Danio rerio: one gene and its partners. The protein of the gene in region 1 interacts with the protein of each later gene in a pairwise test. Links are inferred from orthologs where the notes say so. Each region holds a gene or a part of one and is shown in the gene's direction. Other genes may lie near its edges.

What was found.
Region 2: the proteins of mad1l1 (region 1) and si:dkeyp-20g2.1 interact in binary tests that used the Homo sapiens proteins (3 or more experiments, as listed by UniProt). The link is inferred for Danio rerio from reciprocal best matches to the Homo sapiens genes MAD1L1 and CCHCR1.
Region 3: the proteins of mad1l1 (region 1) and tex11 interact in a two-hybrid assay, tested with the Homo sapiens proteins (2 studies listed by BioGRID and IntAct). The two-hybrid records come from large-scale screens. The link is inferred for Danio rerio from reciprocal best matches to the Homo sapiens genes MAD1L1 and TEX11.
Region 4: the proteins of mad1l1 (region 1) and bag5 interact in binary tests that used the Homo sapiens proteins (3 or more experiments, as listed by UniProt). The two-hybrid records come from large-scale screens. The link is inferred for Danio rerio from reciprocal best matches to the Homo sapiens genes MAD1L1 and BAG5.

What each region holds. Positions count from the first base shown.
Region 1 is NC_133176.1:11,252,381-11,256,856, reverse strand, and holds part of mad1l1 (mitotic spindle assembly checkpoint protein MAD1), read left to right. Parts: intron 1-81; coding exon 82-206; intron 207-1,278; coding exon 1,279-1,360; intron 1,361-1,533; coding exon 1,534-1,664; intron 1,665-1,744; coding exon 1,745-1,859; intron 1,860-4,476. UniProt on the Homo sapiens protein: Component of the spindle-assembly checkpoint that prevents the onset of anaphase until all chromosomes are properly aligned at the metaphase plate.
Region 2 is NC_133180.1:24,161,485-24,166,703, reverse strand, and holds the start of si:dkeyp-20g2.1 (coiled-coil alpha-helical rod protein 1), read left to right. Parts: upstream 1-1,852; 5' UTR 1,853-2,019; coding exon 2,020-2,083; intron 2,084-5,219. UniProt on the Homo sapiens protein: May be a regulator of keratinocyte proliferation or differentiation.
Region 3 is NC_133189.1:37,606,332-37,610,807, forward strand, and holds part of tex11 (testis-expressed protein 11), read left to right. Parts: intron 1-851; coding exon 852-905; intron 906-982; coding exon 983-1,023; intron 1,024-1,102; coding exon 1,103-1,189; intron 1,190-1,296; coding exon 1,297-1,367; intron 1,368-3,408; coding exon 3,409-3,525; intron 3,526-4,476. UniProt on the Homo sapiens protein: Regulator of crossing-over during meiosis. Involved in initiation and/or maintenance of chromosome synapsis and formation of crossovers.
Region 4 is NC_133188.1:17,741,881-17,746,356, reverse strand, and holds part of bag5 (BAG family molecular chaperone regulator 5), read left to right. Parts: intron 1-2,306; coding exon of another isoform or gene 2,307-2,337; exon of another isoform or gene 2,338-2,354; intron 2,355-2,675; coding exon 2,676-3,201; 3' UTR 3,202-4,476. UniProt on the Homo sapiens protein: Co-chaperone for HSP/HSP70 proteins. It functions as a nucleotide-exchange factor promoting the release of ADP from HSP70, thereby activating HSP70-mediated protein refolding.

The sequences.
Region 1 (4,476 bases):
CTCCTGAGTATACAGTGTAGATTGAAGTGGTTTGATTGATTATTATTTATTAATGTATCTATTATTCTGTTTTTGTTTTAGATTATCAGTGAGTTGAAAGATGAGACGAGAAGGCTCGGTCAGCAGATCCAGATTCAGGAGTCTAAATTCTCCACCCAGAACCTGGAGATCCAGGCCTTGCAGGAACAACTGGATGTGCAGCGCAAGTATGAACTCAAAAAAACACCACATGGTTTACTTCATTTTCTCTCTTAAATATAAATTAAAATATACTGCTGCAGGATGTTGGAAAATTAGTCATTTCCATGTTTTGTTTTGCTGCGATATGAATACAATTTCAGCATAATTTAAATTTATTTCAGTATTATTATTGACTAATATGAAACTGTTCATATAGTTATTTTGAATACAGCTTGTTAAGTCATATTTTCTGTCTTTTAGTAGATTTATTATATAGAAGACTTGATTTGTTTACCAAATAAAGTGGATCTAATTGGATTTGCATTATAAACATTAAATACAAGTTAAAAAGGTATTACTTTTTAGCTCATATGTTAAGGTTTTAATTATGAGACCCTCGAAATCATTCCGCATAAATCTGCAGATTTTTTTTAAAGAAATGGCAAAAAAATGTCCGCAGATTCCATCTGGCCCTAGTTATATCTTAACTTTAAACCATTATCCCAGTACTTCTGTGTTATTTGACTTTTTGTAACTTCATAACTAACTCAAAACACTGAAGACTAAATCTCTTTGGATTAATAAAAGTATACAAATCACCATCATTAAAAATTTGTTGCGTGGGTGTTGAGATCCCGATCTTTTAGTGATTAATCGTGCAGCTTACACTGAATGCATTAATGCAGGCTAAATTGTAAAAGAAAACCTCTTTAATAACCTAAGAAACCCACCTCATCCTGAAAAAACCACTACAACTTATGTCAAAACCTACATGCTTTCATAAATGTGATTTGATTGATGTGAGGTGATCTCTCTGCCATCGTTTCAAATTTAGGATTAATCTACAAGTAAAAAAATGTATTAATCCATGGGGCACATGTGTTCACTCCATTATGGTGAAACTCTTCAGTGACTCCAGAAATCTTCTGTGTTCTGAACTGTGGCTCCTGGTAAACTATAATCCCAACATATAAACCAAACATTGCACTTCCTGCAATGGGACTATTGTAGAAGTGCATATTGCAATATCGATGGTGAAACAATATATTGCGCGATATATTCGTAACAGTAAGCATTTTTTGTCTTTGTTGTTAACAGGAAGTTTCAGGACATCAGTCAGAAGTACCAAAATCTGCAGTCCTCTCATTCAACCAGCACAGAGAGCGAACTCAAGATGAAGGTATTTTTGTTTCAGTCTTTTTCTCAATTTCGGTGGATTTTGGAGCACTAAGGGATGTCTGAAGTACTGGTGCTCGAGTGTCAAGTCTAGACTAAAATAAAGCTTGTATTAGCATCATGAAATTGGCTTGTATTTGTGCTCAGCTTGGTCTTATTTGTGCTGTCCATCTGCAGGAGTTGGAGAGGCGTTTGGCTCTTCAGGAACAGGACTCCGTGATTGTGAAGAACATGAAATCTGAAGTGGCCAGACTGCCTGAAATGGAGCGGGAAATTAAACGTCTGCGTGAGGAAAACTCTTTCTTAAGGTATCCGCATTCACTGTCAGACTTTTTCCCTGATGCATGCCTAATGTATATTTAGCACGTCTTCAACTGTCTTTCAAAAGGGAGACAAAAGAGAACAACAGTTTGCTGAAGGAAGAGACCGAGGGCTTGAGGAGGAAGCTGGAGAGGCTGGAGAAAGTGATGGAGGAGAAAATCAAAGTGGAGTTGGAGAAAGAGGTAAACGGTTGCAAAATGTGCAATTAAATAGGTAGTTCAACCTTAGATGAATGTTCTGTTGTTATTTAATCAACCTTTACTTGTTCAAAGCTTATTTGAGTTGAACACAAAAGAAAGTATTTCGAAAAAAATGCTGGTTGTTAGTGTCTATCGAGGTCTATAGTCATTATTAGTTAATGGGTTTTAGAATATCTCAAAATATCTTCTTTTGTGTTCTAAAGAAAAACTAAGTGATTAAAAACTAAATGATGAGGTCATTTCTGTTTTTGCGTGAACTAGGTTTGTCACGATACTGGAATTTGGTACCAATTTGTACAGAAATTTTAAACGCAAAATTTTTATGACTGATTGGCTGTGAAGGTCATCAGTTCACAGAACTCATTGCTGTTTACTGAGTGTAACCACAGGTACTGGGATGCTGGAGCATTTCTAAACATTTTGGTTTATATATAAGCTGACATATGAACGATCCGCTGATGAATTGCGGCTTTGAAACACTCCAGTGTCCCTGTATCTGTGCTTACACTCCGTAAACAGCTGTGCGTTTGGTGAACTGATGACCTTCACAGCCAACCACATTCATTCCTATTGAGCACGTGAATACAGTGGCAAATCAAAAAGGCTGATTTATACTTTCGCCTGGCGCCGCATCGCAGGCCTCCACTTACTGCGCGTGCACAAAACGGACAAGGCTTTTGTACTTGATGCGTTTGCCATTGAGAGATTTTTTAAGACCACAGGGCATGGTCAAAAAACCGAATTGTAAAATCCGACAGATAAACAGAAGTAAAAAGTTTCTGGAACTACGTCATATCATTAATATCACTCAGGATATTTAAACTAATTATTTTTTTATTATTTTTATTTTTTTTTTTAATGATCATAAATTTTTTTATAACCATTCAAGATTTTTGAAATTAAACTTTGATACATCACTTCTTTTGTTCATATCTTAGACTGTGCTACCTATTATAGTTATAAAAATATTGACAACAAACATGGGTTGCTCTTCAAATATATTGTTTATTATGGCAAAATAAAAGCAAAAAAAGTACACTTAAAAAAAAAAAAAAATTCTGCCCACTCCACAGTTCACACATTAGTGTCTTGCTAGTTTGTGTACTATTACATGCTAAAAAGGTAATAATGGTCCGACATTCCTGATCATTATCAAGAATAAAGAAAAGAAATCAGTATATTGTAAACTTATAGGTTCAAATATTCTTCCAGTTATCAAAGAAATAATTTGTTACTTTATTTTAGTTTTGTAACTATTAAATTGTTAATTAAACCACGTAGGTCTCCACTTTTGCCAACTCATCACTCAAGTTTTTATAAACTTTTTAACAAAAACTTTCTACCTTTCCTACTGCTGTTGTAATTTCTGGCCAAGAATTATTGGCCATCTGGTTATCCCTACGGTCATGCATAGATGGATCATAAAGATGTCTGCCAGGCAAACCTGTTTCAGACAAAATCTTTTTTGCAAAGCTCACTCAAATGAACTAGCGGACGCGTCCAGTATAAATCAGTCTTAAGAACATGCTTAACACCACTCAAATGCTAGTGGGAAATGGATGTTTTTAAAATATCAATATCGATTTGTACCGAATTCCGGTATCATGACAACCCTAGCATGAACTATCCCTTTAAACAGGCTTTCTGCAGGGTCTTGAATCCTTAACGTCTTAAATCTCAAAATCAAAATTTTAGGCCCTAAAAAGTCTTAAATTTACTGAAATATTGTGTTGTAGGCCTTAAATCAGTTCTTAATTTTCCTTTATTCGTGTATTTCTACCCAATCTGGTCAAAACCCATACAATCTCCAACAATCCTAATTTTATTTAAAAGGTAATTTTTAACTCTATTTTTAACTCTATTTATCATAATAAATAGATGGTGGTGGATGAAGAGATTCCCCCCAAGAATGTGTAAAGGACTTTGAGTGTCCAGACAAGTGCTTTATAAATGTAAGGAATTATTTTTTTAAAATTTTAATTATTATTTATATTATTAAAATGGTTTAAGTATTTTCCTTACAATAACATTTGTTTAAAAGTTCTCTATGTATTTACTGTTCAGAACACCTACCTGGACCGATTGTTGTGCACAGATTTGGTTTATTATAGTTTTTAAAACTTTTAAAACATCTGATCATTTTTTATTTTAAAGAAAGTTTATGTTATAAAAAAAGTTTATGGATACAAGTAGAGCTTGCTTGTTTTTACACAATATTTAGCTAAGAAATAAAATCTAAAATATTATAATTGTTTATTATTAATGTATTATTGTATTATTAAATGTATTAAATTGTAATTTTTTTAATAGGTCAAATAAAAATCTGTTCCATCTGGGGCATTTGAAATTCCCTAGCATTTAACCTTTAATGATTCTAAACTTTCATTCATAATGGTCTTAAAAGGTCTTAAATTTAACTCGGTGATACCTGCAGAAACCCTGTTTAAAGCAATTCTACTCAGTAAATTTTGAGTTTTTTTTTTCTGTGTAAAAAAACATCTATTGAATGAATAAAACTCCCATTTCACATTGCAAAAGAAATAGCTAGTGATTTTTGTGATGTGCTATCTTTTTAAGTTGCTTTGAATTCCTATCCTTG
Region 2 (5,219 bases), on another chromosome or scaffold:
TGAAATGTAGCAAAACAAATCAAATACATACAATTTAATAAAATAAATGAAATAAAGCAGAACAAATCAAATAAAACAAAAAAATTAATAAAATTATAATAGAAAATTTTATAAAATTTATTAAAGCATAACATATCGAATAAAATCGAATATAACAAAAATTAATTAAATAATATTTAAAACATTTAATTAAATAATATCTCATTCACCTACTGCACATGAGGAGGTATTCATAAAAATGTAACTTGTGTTTCTCTTTGATTTTAGTATAGATTTTGTACAAATTTTAAGTCCTGTCTTGAAGATGACCTCTTTAATTACTGTAAAAACCATTGGATGCATAAATTGAGTTGGAATATTATACTATATATCTCACTAACTCTATCTATTGTGAAAATTGCCACCATCTCATAGCAATCTTATATTTTAAAGTGATAAAACTTAAAAAAGTTACTTAACATTTTTGTTCACATAATTTACTAAATAAATCTAGCTGTTTAAAATGTAAAGTCACAATATCTAAATCTACTAAAATCTTAGTCTTTCCATAAATAAATGTTGACTTGCTCCCTGCTATTTGTTTGTTATTTTCTTAATACTTGTTGCATCATTTCCATCCATTCTCCAAGCAATTGATCAAATTAATCAATTTTCTAGTCTCGTCTTGGCAAATAACTGAGAAAACACAAATATTAAAGGTCATGTTTTTATGATGTCATCATTTAGACTTCCTATCAGTATTTTACAGTGTTTTAAAAATACACAACATTAAACATAATATTAACCTATTTTTATAAACCACATCAATTACAAATTACTAAATACTATTTTGTATGTGAAATACGCATTTGAAATACTTGTATCATAAATTCTGGCCATCCCTGATTATCGGGACTATAAAAGTGCATTTATCAAAACAGTTAAAAGATTAGTTCAGGAAAAACTAAAAAATCATGTTGTTTTTTACTCTTATTTGTAACAGTTTATTTTGTTGAACAAAAAATAAGATATTTTGAAAAATGTTGAAAACCGGTAACTATTTCCATACTATTAGTATTCCTGTTATTTACTTCTAACATTCTTTAAATTGTCTTTCAAGGGCTTGGATCAACTTGTGGGTGAGTAAATAGTGATAATAATAATTTATGGGAATAATTTTTGGGTGAACTATCCTTTTAAGCTGAATTTAGCATTATATAGAGTGGAAATTCTACCAGAAACGCACATTATCTGTACCTGAAATAAAACATAAATAGAGTGAATAAAAAAAGTATTTCATCCCAAAATGTCTAAAATGGACCGATGGTTGATTTCTGTGAGTTGTTCTGCAAAGGAGTCAGTGTCATTCATTTAGTTTTCAGATTTTCGTTCTTTATTAAAAACCCTTTACAAACTTACAAACCCTGTTATTGTCCTTTTCCTCAGTCCAACTGAACCTACAGCTTTAATCATTTTGTTATGCAAAAAACAGTGATTTAGAAAAACATATTCTTCAGAAATAGCAAAGTTGAAGTTGTTATCATTTACATCAATTAATTGAAAACATGAAATTATATATAAATTCTACAAATAAATGCTAAACATATAATTTAAATTCATTTACAATTGTCCCTATGTTTTGGTCAGTCACATTTGCATTACATTTTGCGTGCCTTCATATGACTCACTTGATGGAGGAAAGGATGCGCTCTATCATTGAATTGTATGATTTTATGCTTGTTTTGTATGGTTTTTTATTTATTTATTTTTGAGGAAGACAAGCTTAAGTCAGGCCCTGTCAATTTTTTTATAAGTGAAAATGTACGTTTCTTGTAGAATGTGCCAAAGACTGCAGGGGGCGCTGTAGTGCCTCAAACCAACCGGAAATCTCCTGTCATGACAACTGCACGCACAGCTTTGAACTCAACGGCGGGGAGAACGAGCACTTTGCAAAACAATGACTAAAAAATCATCAAAGAATCGGATTCGAGCATTTTACACGTTTATGTAGGACCGCTTGTGTGACTTTCAGTGGTTATCATGGATATGCGGAGATCAGAAAGACTGAACGCGCCGGCGGACTTTATGAAAGCTGCTGAAGCAGGTAAACCAACACAATTAACCGAATAAAAGCCACCATATACCAAATAAACAAACACAAACGACTCAACTAGAGCTCTTAAAAAAAACACTCGCTTATCTTTGTGTATAATATTACTGGTTGTAGTGTTGAAGCACAGTATTAGTCTGATGTCAACTAACGTTAAGGTTGCAAAGATACAAACGTCTAGGATTGACAGCAAGTGTGATAAAGCCGTTTAACATTAATCCAACAGCATTTTGATAATCAGTTATTCAATTATAACATTAATACTTATGATTGTTGTGGTAGTTTACATGTCTCAGTTGATTTCCTAGACTACATTGACTATTTGTACTATGCATGCTGTTCAGCATCTTAAAGTGAAGAGTTCAGATGCAAAAAAGAAATTTTCTCCTAAAATGAGCGTTATTTTGCTTTAAAGGCAATATAAATAACTTTTTGGTCACTATAAAAGTAAAATTTCTGAACCTACACACGAGTTGGAGGAAAATGCGCTAGCAACATTTAACTTAGAGGTTTTGGCATCTAAACTCTTGAAGTGAACTTTAAAAGGATTGTAAAAAAAAAAATAATAAAAATAAATAAATATATATATATATATATATATATATATATATATATATATATATATATATATATATATTTCTGTCATCATTTATTCATTTTCCACTTGCTTCAAACCTGATTGAGTTGCCTATTTCTGTTGAACACAACAGAAGATACGTTGAAGAAAGCTGAAAACCAGTAATCATTCACTGTCATAGTATTTTTTTTTTCTACTATAGAGGCCAATTGTTACAGTTTTCAGCCTTTTTAAAATAACACCTTTAGTGTTCAACAGGAGAAATAAACTTGAAATTGTTTATAATTCAGGGTGAGTAGAAAAAATGTAAATAATTTTTGGAGGGAACTATACCGTTATAAAATCTGAACAGATTAGAAATGATAACAACTTTAAATAAGTTCTGTTGTGTCTTTTTTGGAACTTATTTTTAATAAAGAATGCAACACTGCAAAGCAATGAGTACAATACAATTTTAAATTATTGTTATTATTAATTTGTGGTGTCATGGTGGCACAGTAGGTTAGCCTGATCGCCTCACAGAAAGAAGGTTGCTGGTTCTGTGTGGAATTTGCATGTTCTCCCCGTGTTCACCTGGGTTCCCTCTGGGTGCTTCGGTTTCCCCCACAGTGCAAAGACAGGCGCTATAGGTAAATTGAATAAGCTAAGTTGGCTGTAGTGTACATGTGTGAATGCAAGAGTGTATGAGTGTTTCCCAGTGTTGGGTTGCAGCTGGAAGGGTAAAACATATGCTGGTTAAGTTGGCGGTTTATTCCGCTGTTTCAACCCCTGATTAATAAAAGTACTAAGCCAAAAAGAAAATGAAGAAATTCTTATTTTGCATGTTACTCCAATTTCTAGCTGCCAAAATGGTTGTAAAGACATGTTGAGAACAAAATAAAAAAATAAAATAATAATAATACTAAATTAGGGCTAGTCATTGCAGGATGTATTATGGCTGTGAGAATGGTGCTGTGAAATTGGAAGAACTCAGATACTCCCACTTTTAAGGATTAGATTGAGCTGATGACTTCTACTGTATCATATAAACATACTGTATATTGGCAAGACTCGAGGTCTCCACTCTCCACCTATACTTTTCATCAGAAGTGGGGTAGCTTTTTACGGTATTTAGAGAGCATGTATTAGAAAAATTGAAGGGTTGTCATTTTGGCTGTCTATTGTATAATTTTATATTTAATATTTATGTTTTATGTTATTATTTTATTATATTTTGTTTACATTATTTTCCTGAATGTTGATTTTGTATTGTGAATGTTACGTTGTGTGGGGTATAGACGTTCAAAATAAAAAAGTTAATTGACAAAAAATACAAAAATACAAAAATAAATAAATAAATGAAATTAAATAAAAAAGGGGGACAATTAGATGGATGTTGTAGTAGAGAAAGAAAGGAGTGGCCTTGATCATAACAGTATGGCTCATTATTGAAGAATTAAAGGCATGACAGGAGGCCATCTCTTTAGGAAAATATATATTTTTTAAGTCGCATTGCATATGTGATTTGCTCCATTTCATACAGTTCCCACACTTTTTGAATCCAAGCATTATATGATGGAGGTTCAGAATTTAGCCATATGCATGTGATGCACTTCAAAGCTGCTGCAAGTAGAATTTGTAATAAGTATGTTCTCGATCTGTCATTAAAGCCCTTGGGGCACACACCTTCTGTAGCTCAGCGACTGTGTGATCTTCAGAAAATTGCTTTCATTTTTTTTTTACATTCTTTTTTTTATGTTTTTATTTTTTTTATTAAACATTTTTTATTTTGAACAAAGCCTGAGATCCACAAAATGCTCAAATAAAATAAAGACAATAATACTGTAATAATAGGTACAAAATCATAATTGAAACATATCTCATACAGTCATATTTAACCAAAATTGTACAGTTTTCTTACTGGCATCATTTATTTTATCTGTGGTGTATTCTAAACTAATACAGTCCAGTGCATCAGCTGGAGCAAATGGATACAGCCATATTTTCAGGATGTTTTTTTTTTCAGCATTCAGAACAACTGATAGAATCCTTTGGTTGATGGATAAGGAGAGTGATGAATCGTCCACCATGAGAAAAAACAATGGGTTACGTTGGATCGGAGTTTCCATTAGCTCTAATAGTAGGTCTCGTACCTTGGACCTGAATAATGCAATTTGGGGACATTCCCAGAACATATGTATACAGTTAGGTCCATAAAAATTTGGCCATTGGCACAATTTTGACATTTTTGGCTCCATACACCAACACAATGGGTTTGAAATTAAATGATCAAGAAGTGATTTAACTGCAGACTGTCAGCTTTAATTTGAGGGTATTTACATCCAAATCAGGTGAACGCTGACTTTCAACAGTTTGCATTAGGCATGGGATGATAACCGTTTTTCAAGTATAACACAGTTTGCAAAAGTCAAGGTTTTAAAATCGATAAAATTTTCTGTGATACCGGTCTAAGGTATATGTAATATTTTTTATTAACATTTTTTTTAGGACAACAGAATTTCCAGCAGACAAAATATCCAATTATGGTGTTTTAAATTGTAATGAAATCAGTGT
Region 3 (4,476 bases), on another chromosome or scaffold:
TTTAAGTATGAAAATGTGTTTTAAATTAAAATATTTACAGCTTAAATAAACAGCTATGTCTAATTTCAAGACCTAAAATGGCAAACCCTGGCAGTTAAAGTCACTGAAATGCAAGCACTTGTTAATTCAATGTATTATCTTTTTTCAGTTTGTGCTGTCCGACAAGCTTTTTATTTCAATAATGTTTGCATTGGTTTTGTTTCATAGAATTGATTGTGATGCATAAGTAGTGTTGAATAATTCCATGTTATGTGGCTAACAATTGAGCAAAAAGCAAGCGAATAAAAAGGATGTGAATGACAAGTATGATTTTGATCATAATCAGTTTTGGTACAGCATAGTAAACTCTGCAAAACTTATTATATCTCGGCTCATACCAATCATTTGTTATCTTTTGGGGATGTTTAAAGGGATAGTTCGCCCAAAAATAAAAATCCTGCCATCATTTGAACAACTTGTTCAGATCCTGTTAGAGTTTCTTTCTTCTGTTAAACACAAAAGGAAGATATGCATACTGATAAATAGTAGAAAAAAACAGCCATTTACTTGTATAGTATATATTTTTTACTAGTATGGATGTCAATGGCTGTTTTTTCCAGCTTTATTCAGTTTTATTTTATATTCTACAAAAGAAAGAAACTTGAGTGTGAGTAAATGGTGGGAAAATTTTAATTCTGTGTGAACTATCCCTTCAATAACATTCGATTCCATCATGAGCAATTATAAGCATTTACTCTGCAAAAGTAGGCAAGCTCAAGTTTAGACCCTGTTTACACCTGTATTTAGCGTTATTCACAAGAGGGTTTGTGCTGGCTCAAGCTGTTAGAAAATCTGGGCCAATGTTTTTTCAGGTGTTTAGTGCGACTAGCTCTTTCAACACTGGAAAACATCAGCGAGGAAAACAGGTTAGTAGATCAGTGGTACAGAAATTCTGACAAACTCAGCAGCTCCCTTTGTCTCACTTCATCTATTTCTAAAACAGGAATGCCAGCTTGGATATCCTCTTGTCATACCTAAAAACAGGTAGGCTTAACCATCATTTGTCTTTACACTGCTGTTTTATGTCTGCTCTGATTTATGCATACTGTAACTAAATTTACAGCTCTTCAGAAATTATCACAAGTCTGCCATATTCCTGGTCAGAGAGCAGAGCAGCGTTCAGAAGATGCTAACTGGTTCAGGAGAATTGGTGCTCTTTTTATAAACCTCCAACAGTTTGAGAAACATTTGTCTATTGGTAGTTATGTTTGATTGAATGTGCATGTGTTGTAAATTGGCTGTCTTTCTGACTCTCAGCATGGAACTCTGCCCTTCAGTGTGAGCACAGTCCTGTTCGGATGAAGGATTTCTTTCTTCTCTCGTTTCAAGTAAGTTAAGATATAGTCCCTCATAAGCCCTGCCTATACTTTTTTTATACACTACCTGACAAAAACCTTGTTGTATATCCCAGTTGTAAGAGCAACAAATAATAACTCGACTTTAAGTTGATCATTTGAAAAAGTGGTAAAAGGTAGATTTTTCAGATAAATCATCTGTTGAACTGCATCCCAATCATCACAAATACTGCAGAACACCTACTGGAATGCGCATGGACCCAAGATTCTCATAGAAATCAGTCAAGTTTGGTGAAGGAAAAATCATGGTTTAGGGTTACATTCAGTATGGGGGCATGCAAGAGATCTGCAGAGTAAATGAAAACATCATCAGCCTGAGGTATCAAGACATTTGTGCTGCCCATTACATTACAAACCACAGGAGAGAAAAATTATCCTTCCACATCAAGGTTCCTGAAAGCAAAAAAGGTCAAGGTGCTCCAGGATTGGCCAGCCCAGTCACCAGATATGAACAAGATTGAGTATGTCTGGGGTAAGATGGAGGAGGCATCGAAGAGGAATCCAAATAATCTTGATTGACAACTGCATCTTGTTCTCCTGCAAGAACGCTTTCTTTGCCATTCCAGATGACTTTATTAATGAGTTATTTGAGTCATTGCAGAGGTGGATGGATGCAGTCCTCCAAGCTCATAAGAATCATACACAATATTCATTCTTTTTCCACTGCACCATGACTTTATATTCTATACTGTACATTATTTCTGTTAAGTGACAAGACTTTTGTCTAAGCTAAGTTAGACCTTACTGTCCTAATTAAATATCTAAAAATCAAGGCATGATAATACTTTATGTTGGTAAAATACACATAATCTACAGGCCCTTGCCTTTCATATAAGCCAATTCTGATACCAAATGATCAACTAGAAGTTAATATATTATTTGTTGTTGCTAAAACTTGGATAGGCGACAAGACTTTTGTCAGGTAGTGTACAAGAAACTCAAGGCATGTGTACAGTGAACAACATATTTCTATTATCAGTGAGTGCACACACTGTACATGTGTAGGATGCTCACATATACACATAATTATGTACTTAAAATGCCACCCTGGCCATCATTTTTCAATCAAAACAATATAAATTCTGAAGGCTGCAAAGCCAGGATGCTGATTTTAAAACATTTGTGCATGGAGCTTAAATCACCATGAAATTTAAATGAGCTCTTCTTATTTTAATATTTTTATATAGTGGTTCTTCTTATAAATGATGTTTCTGTGCACTTTATTATTTAGTAAAAATCATTTGCCTTCATAATCTTTATCAAATACCATAAACTTCCCTCCCCTCTCAAAGTGACTTTTCTTCACTTCTGGTCACATGGAATGCCATTCATGTCTCATGTATGCTCTGCTTGTATCTATTCAGCAATGTTACTTAATTTTCTTAGCAATGCCCATCTTTCAATGATCCTATCGGTCCTCAATGGATTTATTCATGCATAGCCCTATTTTTTTCTGCTAATTCATTTCATTAATGTATCTATTGTATGTACATAACAATATGGGGAAAAGGACAATATTAACTTCTGTTTCATAGCAACTTTAAATGATATTTACAAAGACATTTTATTATGTATCAGCAAAAATGTATCTTTTAGTGTGCAAGTTAGTTGCTAATATATGGAGTATATTCTCCAGATGCTTTACACTTATTATTACTACTGCTAAATAAGGCAAATTATAATCAGCCAATGACATGGCAGCAACTCAATAGATTGAAAGCAAGTATTAATTTAGCATGCTGTGGTGATGTAGTAGTGTGAGGAATTTCTTGCCATACCTTGGGTCCTTTAGCACTAATCATTGAGCATTGTTTAAAGCCACGGCTTACCTGTGTATTGTTGCTGACCACATCCAACTCGTTATGACCACAGTTTATTTATCTTGTGATGGCTACTTCCAGCAGGATGATACACCTAGTAACTGTATGCTAGGTCATAATTGTGCTAACAGCAATCCACACGCTGACACTGCAGCTTTAGTGAGGTGTAGTTACAGTGAACGTGTGATGTGCAGCTTTCACAGCTGTGTGCTCCAGACCGAGCTGTGTTGATGGGGCAGAAGACGTGCCTGCTGATGTCTGCTGCCGCCTCTCTGGAGATCTGCAGGAGCTCTGATCACACTGAGCAACAGGTGCTTCACTCACTCATTTATAGCACTTCATCTTCTTCACCTGACTAAACAATCAACAGAAGCCAAGAGGCGTTTCACTTAACATGAAGGAGACTGAAGAAACATATTACCACATAAATTCAGAAAATTGATCTATTTAATGCATATTATTGCTGTTTTGTAAACTACAAAGTGACATTTGTTTAAAAATCTGAAAAAAGTATAGTTAATATATAAAACAATTGAGACCTTAGGTTGCAATATTAAAATAGTATTATTTAAGGATTTAATATGTCCATAAACAATAAGAGGGCTTTGTTGTGGTGCAGTGGGTAGCATGATCACCCCACAGCAAGAAGGTCACTGGATCAAGCCTCAGCTAGGTCAGTTGGCATTTCTGTGTGGAGTGTGCATGTTCTCCCTGTGTTGGCGTGGGTTTCCTCAGGGTGTTCCGGTTTCCCCCACAGTCCAAATACATGCGCTGTAGGTGAATTGGGTAAGCTAAATTGTCCGTACTGTATGACTGAATGAGAGTGAATGGGTGTATTTCCCAGTGATGAGTTGCAGCTGGAAGGGCATCCGTTGCATAAAATATGTGATGGATAAGTTGGCGGTTCATTCCGCTGTGGCAACCCCAGATTAATAAAGGGACTAAGCCAGAAAGAAAATATTTGAATAAATGAAACAATAAAATTGGGTTTGATAGTTGGAGACCTTTTAGTCAAAAATAAATCATGCTCCTAAATGTTTATGGATTACTTTTCATTGTTAAAGATGATCTGCCTATTTGTTGATGTATGTATAAATTGTATACACTGTTTATGGGCTTAACAATAAAAAAATAATAGAAATAAAAGGTTTATGGATTACTTTCTTCTTTATCCATTCATTAATTTACCTTCGGCTTAGTCACACACTAAGTATTAAGAACAATTTAGTTCACCCAATTTACCTGTAGTGGTTGTCTTTGTA
Region 4 (4,476 bases), on another chromosome or scaffold:
CCAAGCACACTGAATTAACTTTGATTGAGGCACCAGATGCGCCGCTCGGAGCCGCGACACGGCACACCAGACACACACATTCAGATGTTATTTAAATTTAATTGTTTAGATGACGCTCTGTGACGCGGCAGAAGCATGAATTGTGCCCAATCGGCCAGCCGTCGACTTGAAGCGCCGTTGTGTGTACCCTGATAGAAACCTATGTTTAGAATTCTAAAATGCATGCTCAGTGTCGGGCCACGCAGAGCGGCGCTTATGGTGTGCTTCCTGCAGGCAAGTTTGTTATTTTATTTCCAATGAAGAGACGTGCACCTGAGGCAACGTGCTCGCACTTTCCAGTTTAAGGTAGACACAATGAAAAGTACTCATATTTGCAAACCTACCTAAAGTTACAAACAATAATTCTGATTAGAGCGATCAAGTGGTGTATGTTCATCTTGTGTTGAGCCTAATGAGCCTTACATATAAAAATAGAGCAAGGGTGTTCCTTTAGTGACATCGCTTTGACTCACACGCTGAAAATGGCAGACGTGAAACAACAAACTGGGCTGGGGGACTGCACTCCTACGTCAAGTTGCGGTTGCTCTGAAAACCACTCCAATTGGTTCAACCTTTTTTATGTTGTTAAATTGAAAAAAAAGGACTGTGTGTGTTTATATCATCCCAATATGATGGTCAATACACTATACCTACACACATGTCTGTCCAAACAGCTTGAAAAGTAGATTTTTCACCATAGGTGTCCTTTAAATGTTAGTCAAAGATAGCACAATTAAACACATCACACATTTTTTTAATAAAGATTTTTATCATTAAGGGAGATAAGATTTAAAGATAACTTAATGCTAATTTATCACAACAAAAGTTCAATTTCTCTTGCCACGCCCAGAACTTGTTACTGCCACACCTGTTTACAATTTAAAAAATAGCTTAAATAGGACCTAAAAAGTGAAGACAAAGTAAAGTAGTCTAAAAGATCCTCAAAAGCTAGACATCATGCCAAGATCCAAAAGATTTTTATTGAGATCTACCAGTCTGGAAAAGGTTAAAAATCCATTTCTAAAGCTATGGGACTGCATTGAACCACGCACACACGCACATACGCAATCAAAAATCAGAATTATTAAACCCCCTGAATTATTAGCCCCCCAGTTTATTTTTTTCTCCAATTTTTGTTCAACGGGAATACGATTTTTTTAACACATTTCTAAGCATAATAGTTTTAATAAATCATCTCTAATGACTGGTTTATTTTATCTTTGCCATGATGACAATAAATAATATTTTACTGGATATTTTACAGGATACTTCTATACAGCTTAAAGTGACATTTAAAGGCTTAACTAGGTTAATTAGGTTAACTAGGCAGGTCAGGGTAATTAGTATTATTCCCACTGAAATAAAACAAATAAGACTTTCTCCAGAAGAAAATATACTATCAGACATATGGTACTGTGAAAATTTCCTTGCTCTGTTAAACATCATTTGGGAAATATTTACAAAAGAAAATAATTTTAAAGTAGGTTTAATAATTCAGATTTTTATATTATAAAAAAGTCTGTGACACTGAAGTCTAAAATTTTGTAACGAAGTAAGCATAATGTCATTAATATGAAATAGAAGCCTTATGTGATTTGTACATGGATTTGCAAATTTTGTTTTAAAACACTTTTTTTTGTTTTATTTTTATTTGTTCCTAATTTTTAGAAAAAAAAGTATGGTGGCAGAGAAAGCTTAATGTGCTGCAATTTAAGAAAACTCATGCAAATACACAAACATGCCAGCAAATTTAGAAAAGATCTTCATCTGTTTGACAGCAAACGTGCTGCAAATCCTCACAACGCAAACACATAAAAATAGGGCTGCATTTTCCCACAATGCAAATAAATGAATAAAATGTGCTGCATTTTCTTTTTAACACTTTCAAATAGGTCGGAACACAGTGAAAATGTTTTAAGGGGACCTGGCTATTTAGGTTCTGGTTATTTAGGCTAATAAAATGCAAAAAACAAGGGAATCAAGATGTTAATATAAACAAACAAAAAACTCCCCTTTCAAAGATCACTTACAACTTCACTGAGTATACAGTTATGTTTGTCACGTTTTTCGGTACCCTTGAAACATTTTCATTGTGTTTCGTTCTTTTTGGAAGTGTTGTGAGAAAAGGCAGCTCGATTTCATTAATTGTTTGTGTTGTGAAAAACGGCAGCGTGTTTTTTACTGTCTTTGCTTTGAGGATTTGCAGCTTGTGTCTTTTCTTAATTGCTAATGTTTTTTGTTTTTGCATGTGTTTTCTTAAATTGCAGCACGTTAAGCACTCTTGACCACCTTAAATAGGTGAGCACTGAGCACTAACAATTCTTGTTATATTTATTTTATTCATACGGGGACCTGGATTACATCAGCTATTTATTATGTGCTATGTAAACCTTCTTAGTATTACAATAAGAATAAAGAATATGTTTATAATGCAATTCTTAACATACAGTAGCATTTATACAGTTTCATTTTATGATAAAAAGCCTAATCAAATAACAAAAGGAAGTTATTTCAAACTTTTGAGTAGTTATGGAGTAATTGTGGTGCATGTATATATTTGAATAAAATTTATTTACTTGGATGAATTAAAAAGCATCTTTTTTCCAATAATATACTTACAATTTTTTTTCTTTCAGGTATGATCTAGCACAGAATGACTCTATTCGTGAAATTGAGGCTATCAGGGGTCGTGTGTCAGTGCTGCGAGAAGAGGTGCTTCGGCATGGAGCTTCTGGACAGGGAATAGAGCTGCAGGGTCTCCTTAACCATCTGGACCAGGTAAATACAGGCCGAAATCCCTGCATCCGGGAGGCGCGACGCAGGGCTGTGCTAGAGGTGCAGGCGCTCATCACCTTCCTAGACCTCTGGGAAGCACTAGGACGACGTAATCCAGGGCCAGATGAACCTCCACCTCATGCAGCCGTGTGGCGAGTGCTGGGCAGTTTGTGTGATCTGCAGGCCCAGGTGTTGGGCTTCGATGGCAAAAGGGCCGACAAGAGCTACATGGTGTTGGAGGAGCTACTGACCAAACAACTTCTGGCTCTTGACGCTGTGGACCCTCAGGGTGACCAGGGGACCAAAACTGCCCGTAAGCAAGCTGTTAAACATGCCCAGAATATTCTTAGTTATCTGGATATGAAGACGGATGAGTGGGAGTACTGAGTGGATAAGACACTGGATTGCCCTGATTAAAGATCAGCAAATGTGCAACATATTAGGACTAGCACGGCCTTGGCAACCATACAGGCCATGGGTGAAATTTTTAATTTGTATATAAAAGACTGTGTATCGCCATGGGTAGCGACACTGTTACCCATGATGCACTGTACCTGCTGCTTTTGTTGGCCCTTTACTGGTCCCTGAAAACAGCCATCTTCTGGCAGGAGTTGCAGTTACTACTGCATATGAAGCTTTTGTTTTCCTGACAATAATCCATGATCTTTTTGGTTGAATCTGAGCTGTTGGTTGGTGTGGTGTGGTGCTAAACCCTGTTCTGCTGCCAAAATCTGCTTTCTGCTTTACCACATGCCTGTGTGGAGCACATGTTGTCTTTTTCGCAGTGTGAACACGTCAGCGCTTCAGTCTTGTCAACTATAACCCATTTGGTAACACATCATTCCCTGATTTGACCACAACATACTCATAATGAGGCCATTTCCAGATAATTACAGTGATAGTTCACCCAAAAATTAAGATTTACTCACCATTCCAAACACACCCAAACAAAAGTTTCCTCTGGTTTTTGAACACTAAAGACAATATTTTGACAGCTGAAAACCTAAAACCATCAAATTCCATAGTGGAAAAAACAAATAATAGAACTTATAGTCAATGGTAAGAGAATATCCAGATTATTATATATTTTTTTTCAAAATGATTTCTTTTGCAATCAACTGTTAAAAAAGAAAACACTTGCAACAATATTTACAACAAGAAAAAGAACAGTTTTCAGTTTTGGGTGAACCATCACTTTAAAAGGTCAGACAAGCTTAGTGTTCATAGCTGCAGTTAGAACCCGAGCTCTTCATATATAAACCCTGCATATAAACAACGACTGACCCCACATGTTGGAACATTATTTTTGGTTTTCAAGCAACTTCTACATATAACCCCCAGTTTAATTTAAGGACATTGCATTGAAATAAACACTGCTTTGCAATGTCAGTTTAAAAGTGAAGTGTGTATTTTCTGTCACAATGGCTTTTATTTTAGGGTGTTCAAGCCAGGAAAGAAAGAATTGTTTTCAACATGAATTTACACACTTGTCTTTTAAAGAAGACAACTGTGAAAAAGCATGCGAGAGAAACATTTGAACCATTCCTGCAGTTTTGTCAAATTTCAAAGTGGATGGGGAATCAAAAATTGCAATGATGTATTGTCTTTGGGGACGTTTCATTTCAGTATGGATATGGAGGTCAAAAAATAGAAACTAGATCA